Linked DNA regions of Rattus norvegicus. Each later gene encodes a partner of the first gene's protein in a complex. Links are inferred from orthologs where the notes say so. Each region holds a gene or a part of one and is shown in the gene's direction. Other genes may lie near its edges.

Evidence for each region. The genes of interacting proteins can lie anywhere in the genome.
Region 2: Pfdn2 (region 1) and Asdurf share a complex: the UniProt entries of both Homo sapiens proteins name them as parts of the PAQosome complex. The link is inferred for Rattus norvegicus from reciprocal best matches to the Homo sapiens genes PFDN2 and ASDURF.

What each region holds. Positions count from the first base shown.
Region 1 is NC_086031.1:86,302,547-86,309,235, forward strand, and holds the start of Pfdn2 (prefoldin subunit 2), read left to right. Parts: upstream 1-3,281; 5' UTR 3,282-3,291; coding exon 3,292-3,366; intron 3,367-6,689. Other genes in the region: Nit1 (deaminated glutathione amidase), read right to left, coding at 82-345, 1,020-1,145, 1,280-1,413, 1,623-1,726, 1,831-2,088, 2,485-2,580, 3,148-3,149. UniProt on the Homo sapiens protein: Binds specifically to cytosolic chaperonin (c-CPN) and transfers target proteins to it. Binds to nascent polypeptide chain and promotes folding in an environment in which there are many competing pathways for nonnative proteins.
Region 2 is NC_086027.1:55,623,669-55,630,171, forward strand, and holds the end of Asdurf (ASNSD1 upstream open reading frame protein), read left to right. Parts: intron 1-2,814; coding exon 2,815-2,890; intron 2,891-4,228; coding exon 4,229-4,308; 3' UTR 4,309-4,320; downstream 4,321-6,503.

The sequences.
Region 1 (6,689 bases):
GGGTCCAGCCTACAAGTCACGGTAGCATCACCTCACAGTTGGCGTGTGTTTGTCTGTCTCAACCAACAGAAATTAAAAACATTAGGAGAGTGGCAGGAGACTGCCATAAAGGTCAGGTCTGCGATGCTGGAACACAGGCAAGTGTTGGCGCATCTGTTGCAGAAAGTGGAGATCAATTCGAGCAAGGCAAAGGCCTGGTCCCTCGGAACAGCTGGCCACCACTGTGCCCCAGGGGTCAACCACCATGCTGTGGCCGTAACTTGCTCTTGTCTCATGGTGGCGTCCACACTGTGCTGCTGCTATCACGTAGCACTGAGACTCAATGGCGCGGGCCCGCAGCAGCACCTGAGGATGAGACGTGCGTACTCAGGAACATACAGCATTTAATAGGCGAGTGACAAGAAGCGGACACTGTGGGCCCAATCTACTCATTGACTATTGATCAACTAGAATTAGTAACTAACTATAACATGACTCACACCTATCTAAGAAACGAATTTCCTCACCAGATCGGAAGGGAAGAAAATCCTTCAAGTAGAAGGGGAGGGGTGTGTTTGTGTTTTGTATTTTTTTATATAAGGTCTCCTTGTATAACCTTGGTTGGCCTGGACCCACAGAGATCTGCCGGCCTCTGCCTTACAGTGCGGAGATAAAAAGCACACACCACCATGCACCACTATTTTGGGTGGTGTGGGTTACTTTTGTTTTGTTTTGTTTTGTTTTGTTTTGAGACGGTTTCTCTGTGTAGCCCTGGCTGTCCTGGAACCTACTCTGTAGACCAGGCTGGTCTTGAACTCAGATCCACTTGCTTCTGCCTCCTGAGGGCTGGGATTAAAGGTGTGCACCCCCACTGCCCAGCTTCTATTTTGTTTTCTGTTTTACTCGAGGCATCACTATGCTGGCTTTGAACCTGTGGCTATCCCCTGAAGTGCTTAGAGTTTAGGTTTGTGCTACTCTGTCCCCACTACTAAAAATAAGATTAAAGGAGGCCTATATGTTATGAAGAGGCATTCTCCTACCTCCCAGTGGGCTGGGCCGGTAACAGATCCAAAGGCTGAAGGATAAGTAAGTATTTCTGCCCCAGCTTGAGCCAATTTCAGAGAAAGTTCAGGGAACCGCATGTCATAACAGATTGCTAGACCAACCTGAAACGAGAAACAACCCACTCATCTTCCCTGTCCTGGTCAACGTAACATTGAATACTACCTCCATCATCCTACACCAAAGGGAGATGTTACAACTTTTTCAACATATTCCTATTTTCTTTTCAAACTCCTACCTTGCCTGCTGGTGTCTTGACAGGTGGTTCAAGAGCGTATCCAGGCATGGTATAGTTGCTTTCTCTCATAGGCCCCTGACCTGGGATCTCTACATCACATAGATGTGTCTTCCTGTAACTGGCCACTACTGATCCTAAAGTAAGAGAAAATGCTCAGTACAGACACTGGAAGTCCAGCTTAGCTCTTCTCCCAAAGAGTAATTTTTAGGCTAAGAACAGAAGCATTCAAAACAAAACAAAAAAACCCCTAAAGCCAAGCAGTTGAGAAAAATGCTGAAGATCTGAGTTGGAAGAAGGTAGATGAGCCTAGGAAGAGGCAAGCTGAAGGACTGTGAAGTCTCACCCTTGCTGTTCAGAAGCACATGACAATTGTAGATTTTCTGAGTCTGCTCCCAGTCTTGGCCACGCTCGTGGAAACCACCCAAGGACAGCCAGATTCCACATTCCCTGAGGGGGAGGGACACTGACAACTCTACCCCCTCTATGTGGCAATCCAGGAACACTGCCCAACAGGGATTCTACCCCTCCCCACCCCCACCCTACCCTTGTACCTGGCAAGCTGGCTATATTGTCCCAAAAGGTCCCCATCCAGTGGTTCGGACAGGAGTAATGTCTCGGCAGGATTTCGTGCAATAAAGTCAAATGCCTCAGGCAGAAAGGCCAGGCAAGCGCCCAGTCTGGTAGCCTCTTGAACCAGCTCAGCACACGTTTTAAAGTTCTCTTGCTTGTTTGGTGTTGATGTTACCTGGCACACAGCCACCAGGGGCAGCTCCCAGGAAGTCGATGAGGACTCTGCCATGGCTCTGGGCCTGTGAATGACACAGGCAGTTTTCTCAGGATTTCTACCGCGTGCCGCGGAGAAACTTGGGAGGCTCAAGTGGGGGTGGAGCCGGAAACTTACTTTTTTTTTTTCTGATTTTACCTCCCCTTTGAGACCGGGTCTTTTTGTAGCCCAGGCAGACCTTTCTATGTAGCGGGGATGATCTTAAACTCCTAGTTGATCCTCCTGCCTGTTTCCCGAGTGCTGGGATTAGAGGTGTGTCCCACCAACCCTAGCGACTTGTTTTCATTCTTCCAGAGCATTAAATAACCCTAAGCTACTGGAGTACACGCATTAAATGTTTGGTGGATGGCAGGTCCACTATTCGGTTAATAAACATGGACTTAGCAACTACGTGCTAGACAAAGAACATAAAATATGTTACCTGGGCTGAGTACAAAGTACTGAGATTTGAGGTAATCGGTATCCGGTACACAGAAGGGACAGGAGTTGATGAGGAGGCCTGGTGATGAAGCCCAGCCTGAAGAAGGTGAAAAATCAGGACACCTAACCCTCCTTCAAGCTGTAAGTTTCTAGAATTCTCTGCCATTTCCAGACCTGGCCAGTAATCCCCTCCCCCAAGGCTTCGAAAACACTTTACTACTAGTAGTTATGAGATCATAAAATGGGAAAATGGAAGAGGACACTATGATCGGTGCCTTAATACCTCAACTTCCAGTGATCTCACATTAAAACTGAAGCCCTTTTCCTCTGCCAAACGTTTCCGCAGTTCAAGTCATCTCATGGAACCTTCCTCGTTTCCCCAATTCTCTCTTCTCGGCTGTGCCACCTGGACAGCTTTATAGACTCAACATGTATCTTTCCCCTTGTACCAGAATCTCAGAAGGAAAGTTCACCCTCCTTAGATCTCCACCATTCTCGTGGTGGGTAGGTAGATGGGTACAAGATCAGATCCCAACCCGAGCCCCCGCCCTCTGATTAGCGCGTCCTTCCCCGGCTCTCCCCGGGGCAAGAATCTCTGTTGCACAAGTTAAAGCATAGCAGGTGGAATTCACCGCAGCAGGCAGGGTTGGGGAGTAGGTCCTACATGAAGACACAGCCAAAACCATTCGCAGGGTCGGATCTGAAGAGCTGCCAGAAGCCAGAAGCGCAGGAGCAAGTGGGCGGTAACCACTAGAGCGGATGTGACGCAGTGGGAGTGCGCAGGCCGGAAAGCTTGCAGGTGGGGAAGATGGCGGACAGCAGCGGTCGTGTGGGCAAGAGCGGCGGGAGTGGCACGGGGAAGGGGGCGGTGTCGGCGGAACAGGTGAGGAACCGCGAGCGTAGAAGGCACCTGGGTCGGTGTCGAGTTCGTGCAAGGAAAAGGACTTGTGATTCAGAGGGGCCTTTAGTCCTTCCCACGTTCTCCGTGGTCACGCACAGGGGAGAGGGCGTTTTTGGGGGTGATCACAATCCTTTCTAGGGCGTGAGTAGGTGGGGTAGGTAGGTGAGAGGCACGCCCGGGGTGTGGGTGGGTAGTCGAGAGAGAAAGCTCTTAGATGCAGGATCTGGGAGGGTTGTCCAGGTCCCTAAGGACATGGATCGTCGTCTCCCCCTCTACGAGGTACCCTAAAGAGAATATGGTGTTTGAAGTGTCATCTAGTAACGAATCCCAGGCTGTTCTTAGTCAGTGAGTGGGTTATTTAGTCTTTGACTCCAAAACCGTGTTCACCATCACAAACACGCTGCAGAGCCACGTGACTCAGACTCTGACCAGTTTAGTGTTCAGTAACTATTTGGACTAAGGAGACTGTGGCTTAGTTATTTTCTTGTTTTGTTTTGTTTTTGTTTTGTCTTGGGGTGGGGATGAGGGTTGCTATAGGGTCGGGCTGGGTCGCTCTATGTAGCCTTGCTTTTCTGGAATTCACTATGTAGACCAAGCTGGCCTGGAACTCACAGAGATTCGCTTGTTTCTGCCTCCCAAATACTGGGATTATCTGGGACTACTATTCCTGGCTCGGGTTGTTTTCGTTTTTTGAGACATGGTCCAGCTCACTCTCTATGCTCCCTTCTGCAGAGACTTAAGTTTTCAGAAGAGGCTAGAAACCATTTTCTAATGCAGGTGTGATTCTGCTCTTCATAACATCGGGATACATCTGACGAATTAATCAGAAAGCCCTTTGTGGTATAGGGACCATGTTTTGTTAGTCTTGGGACTAGTGTTTAATTGATATTAGAAGAACACACAATTGGGGTTGGGGATTTAGTTTAGCTCAGTGGTAGAGCGCTTGCCTAGGAAGCGCAAGGCCCTGGGTTCGGTCCCCAGCTCCGAAAAAAAGAACCAAAAAAAAAAAAAAAAAAGAAGAAGAAGAACACACAATCGAAATGAAAATAGTTGAAGCTAGGGGTGTAGTTTGGTGGGTTAAATGGGAAAGCCTTGAGGTGTGGGGTCTGGGTGGGTGTCTGTTCTCACCTGGTATGGAGGTCCAGGGTTGGGATTGAAGAGCTATTTTAATCATATATTTGTCAGTTGCTTGTTGAGCAATCACTGCAGGTAAAAGTATCAGCATAGGGACTGGAGTGGTGGCTCAGCCGTTAAGAGCACTGACTGCTCTTCCATGGGTCCTGGGTTCAAATCCCAGAAACCACATGGTGACTCCCAACCATCTGTAATGAGATCTGATGCCTTCTGGTGTGTCTGAGGATAGCTACAGTGTACTTATATATAATAAATAAATACATCTTTAAAAAAAAGTATCAGCAGAAATAGTTTAAAACCCATACTGTTGGAGAGCATCGTCTGTTGAAGTGGGGTTTACAGTTCTACTATGAGTCGGAAAGTAAGTATTCAAAGAGAAGTGACATTCTGGGGATGGAAGAGGCACCTTGACAGTGGGAAAGAAAAAAAGTAAAGCTTTTGAGAGTCTGTCTTGTGTTATACTTTGCTTAACACAGAGAAACAGGTAAGTGAAATAGACTTTATCTTAAATTTGGACACAGCCAAGTGTGATGGCTCATACCCATAATCCCAATGGGTTACCCTCTCAGTTCCAGGCTAGCCTAGGTTACAGAGTGAAACACAATCTCAAAAACAAACAAGACAGACAGAATGGCAAATAAAAATGAAACAACGAGACTTCAAAAATATGTTATGTATATTTGCATGTCTGAGTGTGTGCATGTACCACACCTGTGCAGGAGCCATTGGAGGCCAGAAGAGGGGTCCAAGCCCCTGATAACTGCTTATTAGCTACCATGTGGGTCTTGAGAACCAAACCCAGGCCTTCTGCTATAGAAGTAACAGTTCTTCCACCGAGCCATTGCTCCAGTCCTTACACCAAAAACTTCTGCACATGATTTCTCTTCTTACTTTTTACCCTCCTCTATCTGTGAAAACATGTACTTCCCATTTCATAACTATTTAGTGTACTAGGCAAGAAAATTCATTCGACACCCTCCCCCCCCATCACCATGACTAAAAAACAGAGACTACAGAGTGTGTTGACTAAATGCTAGTTAGGGGTGGAGAGATGGCTTCTGCACTTGAGCACCTCATCTCACACAAACACATACATACATGCACATGATCTGAACAATCTTTCTAAATGCTAATTTGTTTTTATTTTCTAGAGGATTCTTCAGCTTAATTCTAAAGGCTGAGGAAAGTTAGTCAATGTGAGGATTTTTTTTTTTCGTTAGAAGAAATGTGTTCATAAGCCTTGAGCCATGAACTGCCCGGCCTTGGAAATGCTGGAAGATTTAAAAGAGCTGTATTGCAAGACTTGAAGAAGACACAGTCAGCCTTGTTGTTCTTTGACACAAGTTTTTTTCATGTGGCCTAGAACTCACCAGCCAGGCTAGGATGGCTGGCCAGAGAGTCCATTGACCCTCTCTTCCCCAGCACTTGGATAACAAGCCTCAGAATTTAAGTTCCCTAGCATTCCATTGCCAGGCAGTTCATGCCTCAATACCATACCTCCCCCACCCCCCAAGTTCTCAAACTCTGGTTCTTTGGTTCTTTACCTGTGGAACTTTTCTTCCCAATTTAAGTGTTTGTCACTGATACAAATTCAAGCCTGATGTGACTTTCACAAGGAAGATAGGAGCAGGTCATACTTTCTACTAGGCCCTTGTTTTATTTTCGGTTTATCCTATTTCTATTTATTGTTTATTGGTTTGCTGCTGTTTTATCTGAGAGAGGATCTCCCTCTGTAGCCCTGGCTAGCCTGGAACTTGCTATGTAGACCATGCTAGTCTAGGGCTTGTGGCATTCTTCCTGCTTTGATCTCCCAGGTGTACCACAGCACTTGGAGGAGTGAGTGCGCGCGCGTGTGCGCGTGCATGTGCGCGTGTGCGCGTGCATGTGTGCGTGTGCATGTGTGCGCATGTGCCAGCCAGCCACCCACATGCGTGCCTGGTGACCTTGGACTGTGGGGGTCAGAGCATTGGATCCTCTGGAGTTAGAGACAGTGATAGTTATGGGTTTCCATGTAGGTGCAGAGCCACAAGTGCTGCTGAGCCATCTCTTTAGCTCCCCCAAATCGAGACACATAAACATTATGTACACACATATAATAATGAACTAAACAACTGAAAAGCCCTGCTGCAAAGTAGATTGTGATGTACACGCCTGTAAGAGATCCCCTGTAT
Region 2 (6,503 bases), on another chromosome or scaffold:
GCTTTTGCAGAAGATTTGATGATTTTTTGAATTTTCTTAGATTCTGTTATGTCTTTTTTTTCATTTCTGATTTTGTTAATTTGGATACTGTCTCTGTGTCCTCTGGTTAGTCTGGCTAAGGGTTTATCTATCTTACTGATTTTTCTCAAAGAACCAGCTCCTGTTTTTTTTTTTTTTTTTTTGTTGTTGTTGTTGATTCTTTGTATAGTCCTTTTTGTTTCTACTTGGTTGATTTCAACCCTGAGTTTGATTTATTTCCTGCCTTCTACTCCTCTTGGGTGTATTTACTTTTTTGTTCTAGAGCTTTTAGGTGTGCTGACAAGCTGCTAATGTATGCTGTCTCCTGTTTCTTTTTGGAGGCACTCAGAACTATGAGTTTTCCTCTTAACACTGCTTTCATTGTGTCCCATAAGTTTGGGTATGATGTGCCTTTATTTTCATTAAATTCTAAAAAGTCTTTAACCTCTTTTTTTATTTCTTCCTTGACCAAGTTATCATTGAGCAGAGTGCTGTTCAACTTCCATGTATATGTGGGCTTTCCGTCGTTTTTGTTGTTATTGAAGGCCATCCTTAGTCCATGGTGATCTGATAGGATGCATGGGATTATTTCTGTCTTCTTGTGTATGTTGAGGCCTGTTTTGTGACCAATTATATGGTCAGTTTTAGAGAAGGTACAGCAAGGTGCTGAGAGGAAGGTATACTCTTTTGTTTTAGGATGAAGTGTTCTATTGATATCTGTCAAGTCCATTTGGTTCATAACTTCTGTTAATCTGTCTATGTCTCTGTTTAATTTTTGCTTCCATGATCGGTCCATTGATGAGAGTGGGGTGTTGAAATCTCCTGCTATTATTGTGTGAGGTACAGTGTGTGCTTTGAGCTTTAGTAAGGTGTTTGTTTGTTTGTTTTTTTAATGAATGTACGTATTCGGAGCATAGATATTTAGGATTGAGAATTCATCTTGGTAGATTTTTCCCTTGATGAATATGAAGTGTTCTTAATTTTTTGATAACTTTTGGTTGAAAGTGGATTTTATTCGATATTAGAATGACTACTCCAGCTTGTTTCTTAGACCATTTACTTGGAAAGTTGTTTTCCAGACTTTTACTCTCAGGTAGTGTTTGTCTTTGTCTCTAAGATGTGTTTCCTGTATGCAGCAAAATTGGGTCCTGTTTAGGTATCCAGTCTGTTAGTCTAAGTCTTTTTATTGGGGATTGAGTCCATTGGTGTTACGATATATTAAGGAATAGTGATTTTGCTTCCTGTTATTTTGTTGTTGTTGTTAGAGTTGGAATTCTGTTTGTGTGCCTCTCTTCTTTTGGTGTCATTGCAAGGAAATAACTTTCTTGTTTTTTCTAGGGAGTAGTTTCCCTCCTTGTATTGGAGTTTTCCATCTATTATCTTTGTAGGGCTGGATTTGTAGAAAGATATTGTGTAAACTTGGTTTTGTCATGGAATATCTTGGTTTCTCCATCTATGTTAATTAAGAGTTTTGCTGGACATGCAATCTGTGTTCTCTTAGGGTCTGTACGACATCTGCCCAGGATCTTCTGGCTTTCATGGTCTCTGGTGAGAAGTCTGGTGTAATTCTCACAGTTCTACCTTTATATGTTACTTGACCTTTTCCCCTTACAGCTTTTAAAATCCCTTCTTTGTTTTGTGCATCTGGTGTTTTGACTGTTATATGTCAGGTGGAATTTCTCTTGTGGGCCAATCTTTTTGGTGTTCTATACGTTTCTTGTATATTTATGAGCATCTCTTTCATTATGTTAGGGACGTTTTCTTCTATAATTTTATTGAAGATATTTATTGGCCCTTTAAGTTGGGAGTCTTCATTCTCTTCTGTACCTAATATTCTTAAGTTTGGTCTTATTGTGTCCTGGATTTCCTGTTTTGGGTTAAAAGATTTTTTGCATTTTACGTTATCTTTGATGGTTGTGTCGATGCTTTCTATGGTATCTTCTGCCCCTGAGATTCTCTTGTGTTCTGTTGGTGATGCTTGCATCTATGACTCCTGATCTCTTCCTTAGGTTTTCTTCTCCAGGGTTGTCTTCCTTTGTGCTTTCTTTATTGTTTCTATTTCCATTTTTTTAAAATCCTGGATGGTTTTGTCCATTTCTTCCACTTGTTTGATTGTGTCTTCCTGTAATTCTACAAGGAATTTTTGTGTTTCCTCTTTAAGGGCTTCTATTTGTTTACTTGTGTTGTCCTGTATTTCTTTAAGGGAGTTATATATGTACTTTTTAAAGTCCTCTGTCATCATAAAATGTGATTTTTAAATTCAAATCTTGTTTTTCGAATGTGTTTGGACATCCAGTATTTGCTTTGGTAGGAGAAATGGGCTCTGATGATGCCAAGTCATCTTGGTTTCTGTTGCTTAGGTTCCTGTGCTTGCCTCTCACTATCAGGTTGTCTCTGGTGTTGGTTTGTCTTACTGGTTTGGCCCTCCTGTTGATCTGTGTGTCAGCACTCCTGTAGAACTGTTTCTTTCAGCTGGATCTGGGAACAGAGAGCTTTGCTCTCAGGTGTATAGGCACTCCTGGAGTCTGGCTTTCAGCTCTTTGCACAGGCAGAAATCTGAAGGGTCCTGCCCCTGGCTGCTCCTAGGTCCCTGTACCCAAGGGGCACAGATGGCACTAGGCGATTTCCTCTTGGGTCAGGAATGCAGGCAGAAAGTTTTTGTTAACTCTGAGTTCTCAGGGGTGTCTGCACTTCTGAGGGTCCAGCTCTGTCCTCCACGGGATTTGGGTGCAGGGACCTGTGGTACGGGTTCAGTTCTGCAAGTCACATTCTGATAATTGTACATTTCTTTTGCAGAAAGTATACAAGCAGCAACAGAACAGCAACATATTCTTTCTTGAAGAACGAACAAAAATGTTGTCTGAAAGCAAAAGTGAGTAGTGGTCTTTTTAGTTTTGTTTTCAGACTTATATGGAATGCTACAGAAAACCTTTTGTAAGCTTTTTGTGGGGATTCATAATGGTGCCTCAGTTAAACCCTGTTTGAATGAATGTGTGTGTGGATTTAGGGTAGTGGTCTGTTTCCAGTTAGTCTTCCAGAGATGTATACAGTGCGTTGTGTTTTGGCAGCGTGGCAGGTGGAGTATCCTTCAAGATAGGGTTTCTCTGTGTAGCCTTGGCTGTTCTGGACCTCACTCTGTGGATCAGGTTGGTCTTGAACTCAGAGATTTGCCTGCCTCTGCCTCTCAAGTGCTGAGATTAAAGGCATGCGTTGCACCACAGTCACCGGACAGATGTTCTACAGTTTTAAAAAGACTCCTCCAATATGGATGGGCTGGGATTTGGATTGTCTTGATCTTGGGCAGGAAGCCATGGCTGCAGAGAGTTCATGTTCATAACAATCCTATCATGTCTGGAAAACACTGTCTTGCAGCCATTCTCCCAATCTCTTGTTATGATGGTCTTTCTGTTCCCTTTTATTCATGAGCTTCGGGTGTGATACAAATGTCCAGTTCAGAGTTGAGTACTCCACAGTCACTGATGATCCACACTGCCCCAGTTGTGGTCTCTGAACTAACTGCCATCCACTGCCAATGTCGCTCCTGGTAGATAGCCCATACCCCAGTAGAAGGAGATATGGAATGAGAAGTAGAAAGTGGCTATGATCTAAATATATCATAAATCAGTATGAAATTCTCAAGGAATAAAAATTATGAGTTTAGTTATTAGTAAAGTAGTCATATATATTTTAAGAGGTTGAGAGAAATATGAAAATCATACAATTTTGTGACTTTCAGGGGTAATACTTTGAGCCTCTAAAGCAGCAGTTCTCAACCCGTAGGTCAGTACCCTTTTGGGGGTCACAAATCAGATATCCTGCATGTTAGATATTTATATTACAATTCATAACAGTAGTAAAATTACAGTTACGAAGTATCTGCGAAATTTGGTTGGGGTCACCACGACATGAGGAACTGATTAAAGGGTCGCAGCATTAGGAAGGTTAAGAACCACTGCTCTAAGATCTTGAAGTATTTAAATTATATATGTAAAGTGTTTAGCCAAGTGATTAGATAAAATGTGTACCCAGTGGAAAGAAACTATTACCAAAATATCAGCATTGTCTGTCACTAAAGCATTGTGAATTATGGCTGGCTTTTGTACAGTGCATCTCATATGGTTTAATCTTGAGAAGTAGCCTGTTTTGTTCATGAAATAATAGGTAAATATTTTTGAACTTTCACTTCAATATTTTTTCTCACTCTCAACAGATAAATTAGACGAACTAAGAAAAGATTACCAAGAAGTAGAAAACTCAGAGACAACCAAAGTCAAGACACAGTCAGCCTGACTTCACATAACCATGTGTGGCATTTGCTGTTCTGTGAGTTTCTCTGTTGAGCACTTCAGTAAAGATTTAAAAGAGGATTTGCTGTATAATCTCAGACGGCGGGGCCCTAGTAGCAGCAGACAGTTATTAAAATCTGCTGTTAACTATCAGTGTTTATTTTCTGGTCATGTTCTTCATTTAAGAGGTGTTTTGACTGCCCAACCTGTGGAAGATGAATGTGGCAATGTGTTCTTATGGAATGGAGAAGTTTTTAATGGAGTACAGGTTGAAGCAGAAGATAATGATACCCAGGTCATGTTCAGTAGCCTTTCTGCCTGTAAGAATGAGTCTGAAATACTGTCGCTCTTCTCTAAAGTGCACGGCCCGTGGTCGTTTATATATTACCAGGCCTCCAGCCATTGCTTGTGGTTTGGCAGGGACGTGTTTGGCCGCCGTAGCTTGCTTTGGCAGTTTAGTAACCTGGGCAAGAGTTTCTGCCTCTCTTCAGTTGGTGCCCAGATATCCGGAGGAGCAGACCAGTGGCAAGAAGTTCCAGCATCTGGAATCTTCCAAATTGATCTCAATTCTGCTGCTGTTTCCAGATGTGTGATCTTAAAATTATATCCTTGGAAATCTATTTCTAAGGAGAATGTTGCTGAAGAATGTGCTAATGAGCTGACTCAGACTCCAGCAGAATTGCCAGAGTTTGTATCAGTGGTAATAAATAAAGCCAACTTGTACCTCTCAAAACCCATTGTCCCCTTAAACAAGACGCTGCCTGAGGTACCCTTGGAGACCCAATGTAGAAACAGTTCCAGCGTTCCAGGGTCAAGAGAGACACTTGAGATACTTCTTAGAGATGAACACACACAAAGAATAGTTCAGCAGTTCATTGACGTCCTCAGTGTTGCAGTCAAGAGACGCACCTTATGTTTAGCTAGGGAAGAAAACTTGGCATCAAAGGACGTTTTAAAAACTTGTGGTAAGAAAGCAAACATTGCGATCCTGTTTTCCGGAGGTGTTGATTCTATGGTGATCGCAGCCCTTGCTGATCGTCACATTCCTTTAGACGAGCCAATTGACCTTCTGAATGTGGCTTTTTTACCTAAACAAAAGGCAGGGCTGCCTATTCCTAACGTAGAAAGAAACCAGCAAAACCACTGTGAGATCCCTCCTGAAGAGTCCTCTCCGAGCACTGCTGTGCCTCAGGGTCCACATGACGCCGAGGTGCCAGATCGAGTCACAGGAAAAGCAGGACTGAAGGAACTACAGTCTGTCAACCCTTCTCGAACTTGGAATTTTGTGGAAATTAATGTTTCTCTTGAAGAATTACAAAAACTAAGAAGAGCTCGAATATGTCACTTAGTTCAGCCATCGGACACAGTTCTGGATGATAGTATTGGCTGTGCTGTCTGGTTTGCATCTAGAGGAATCGGTTGGTTGGTGACCGAGGATGCTGTGCAGTCTTACAAGAGCAGTGCAAAGGTATGTTCCAAAGGACTGCTGCTCATAATTTCTGAGACCTCATTTTGATATTTAAGGTTTATAAATACACTGTATTACAGTTACACTTTATCGTACTGTGTATTTGTTTTACTATTTTCTGACTTGTAGTTTTCCTCCTTTAGCCTGAGAAAATAGAACTTGTTTTCTTTATCCTCTTGTCATGTCTCTGGCTCTTTTTCCTCTTCTGTAGGTGATTCTCACTGGGATTGGTGCAGATGAGCAGTTGGCAGGTTATTCCCGTCATCGTGCCCGCTTTCAGTCTCTTGGCCTAGAAGGATTGAATGAGGAAATAGCAATGGAATTGGGTCGCATTTCTTCTAGAAACCTTGGTCGTGATGATAGAGTTATTGCTGATCATGGAAAGGAAGCAAGGTAACTCATTACTAAATGTTTTTTTTTTTAAAAATGTAAAAGGAAGCTTTACATTTTCCCTTGGAGATTGGTATCATGCAAAGCAGGAGAGCAGACCACTCTCTCTACTTTACATTATAAACATGGTCGAGAGCAAAACCGATGGAGCCGGGGAACTGCGTTTCCTCATTAAGTAACTTTGTAAAGTTACGTTGTAAAGTCATGGAATAGGTAGTTCTTTTCAGGACCACAATGAACACAGGACTGTCCAAGGGGCAATCACAGGCAGTTTAAGGGTTTTCTTTTGTCCCACAAACCTATAATAAGTTTCTCCTCCAGTACTGTAGAATCTGGTTTTG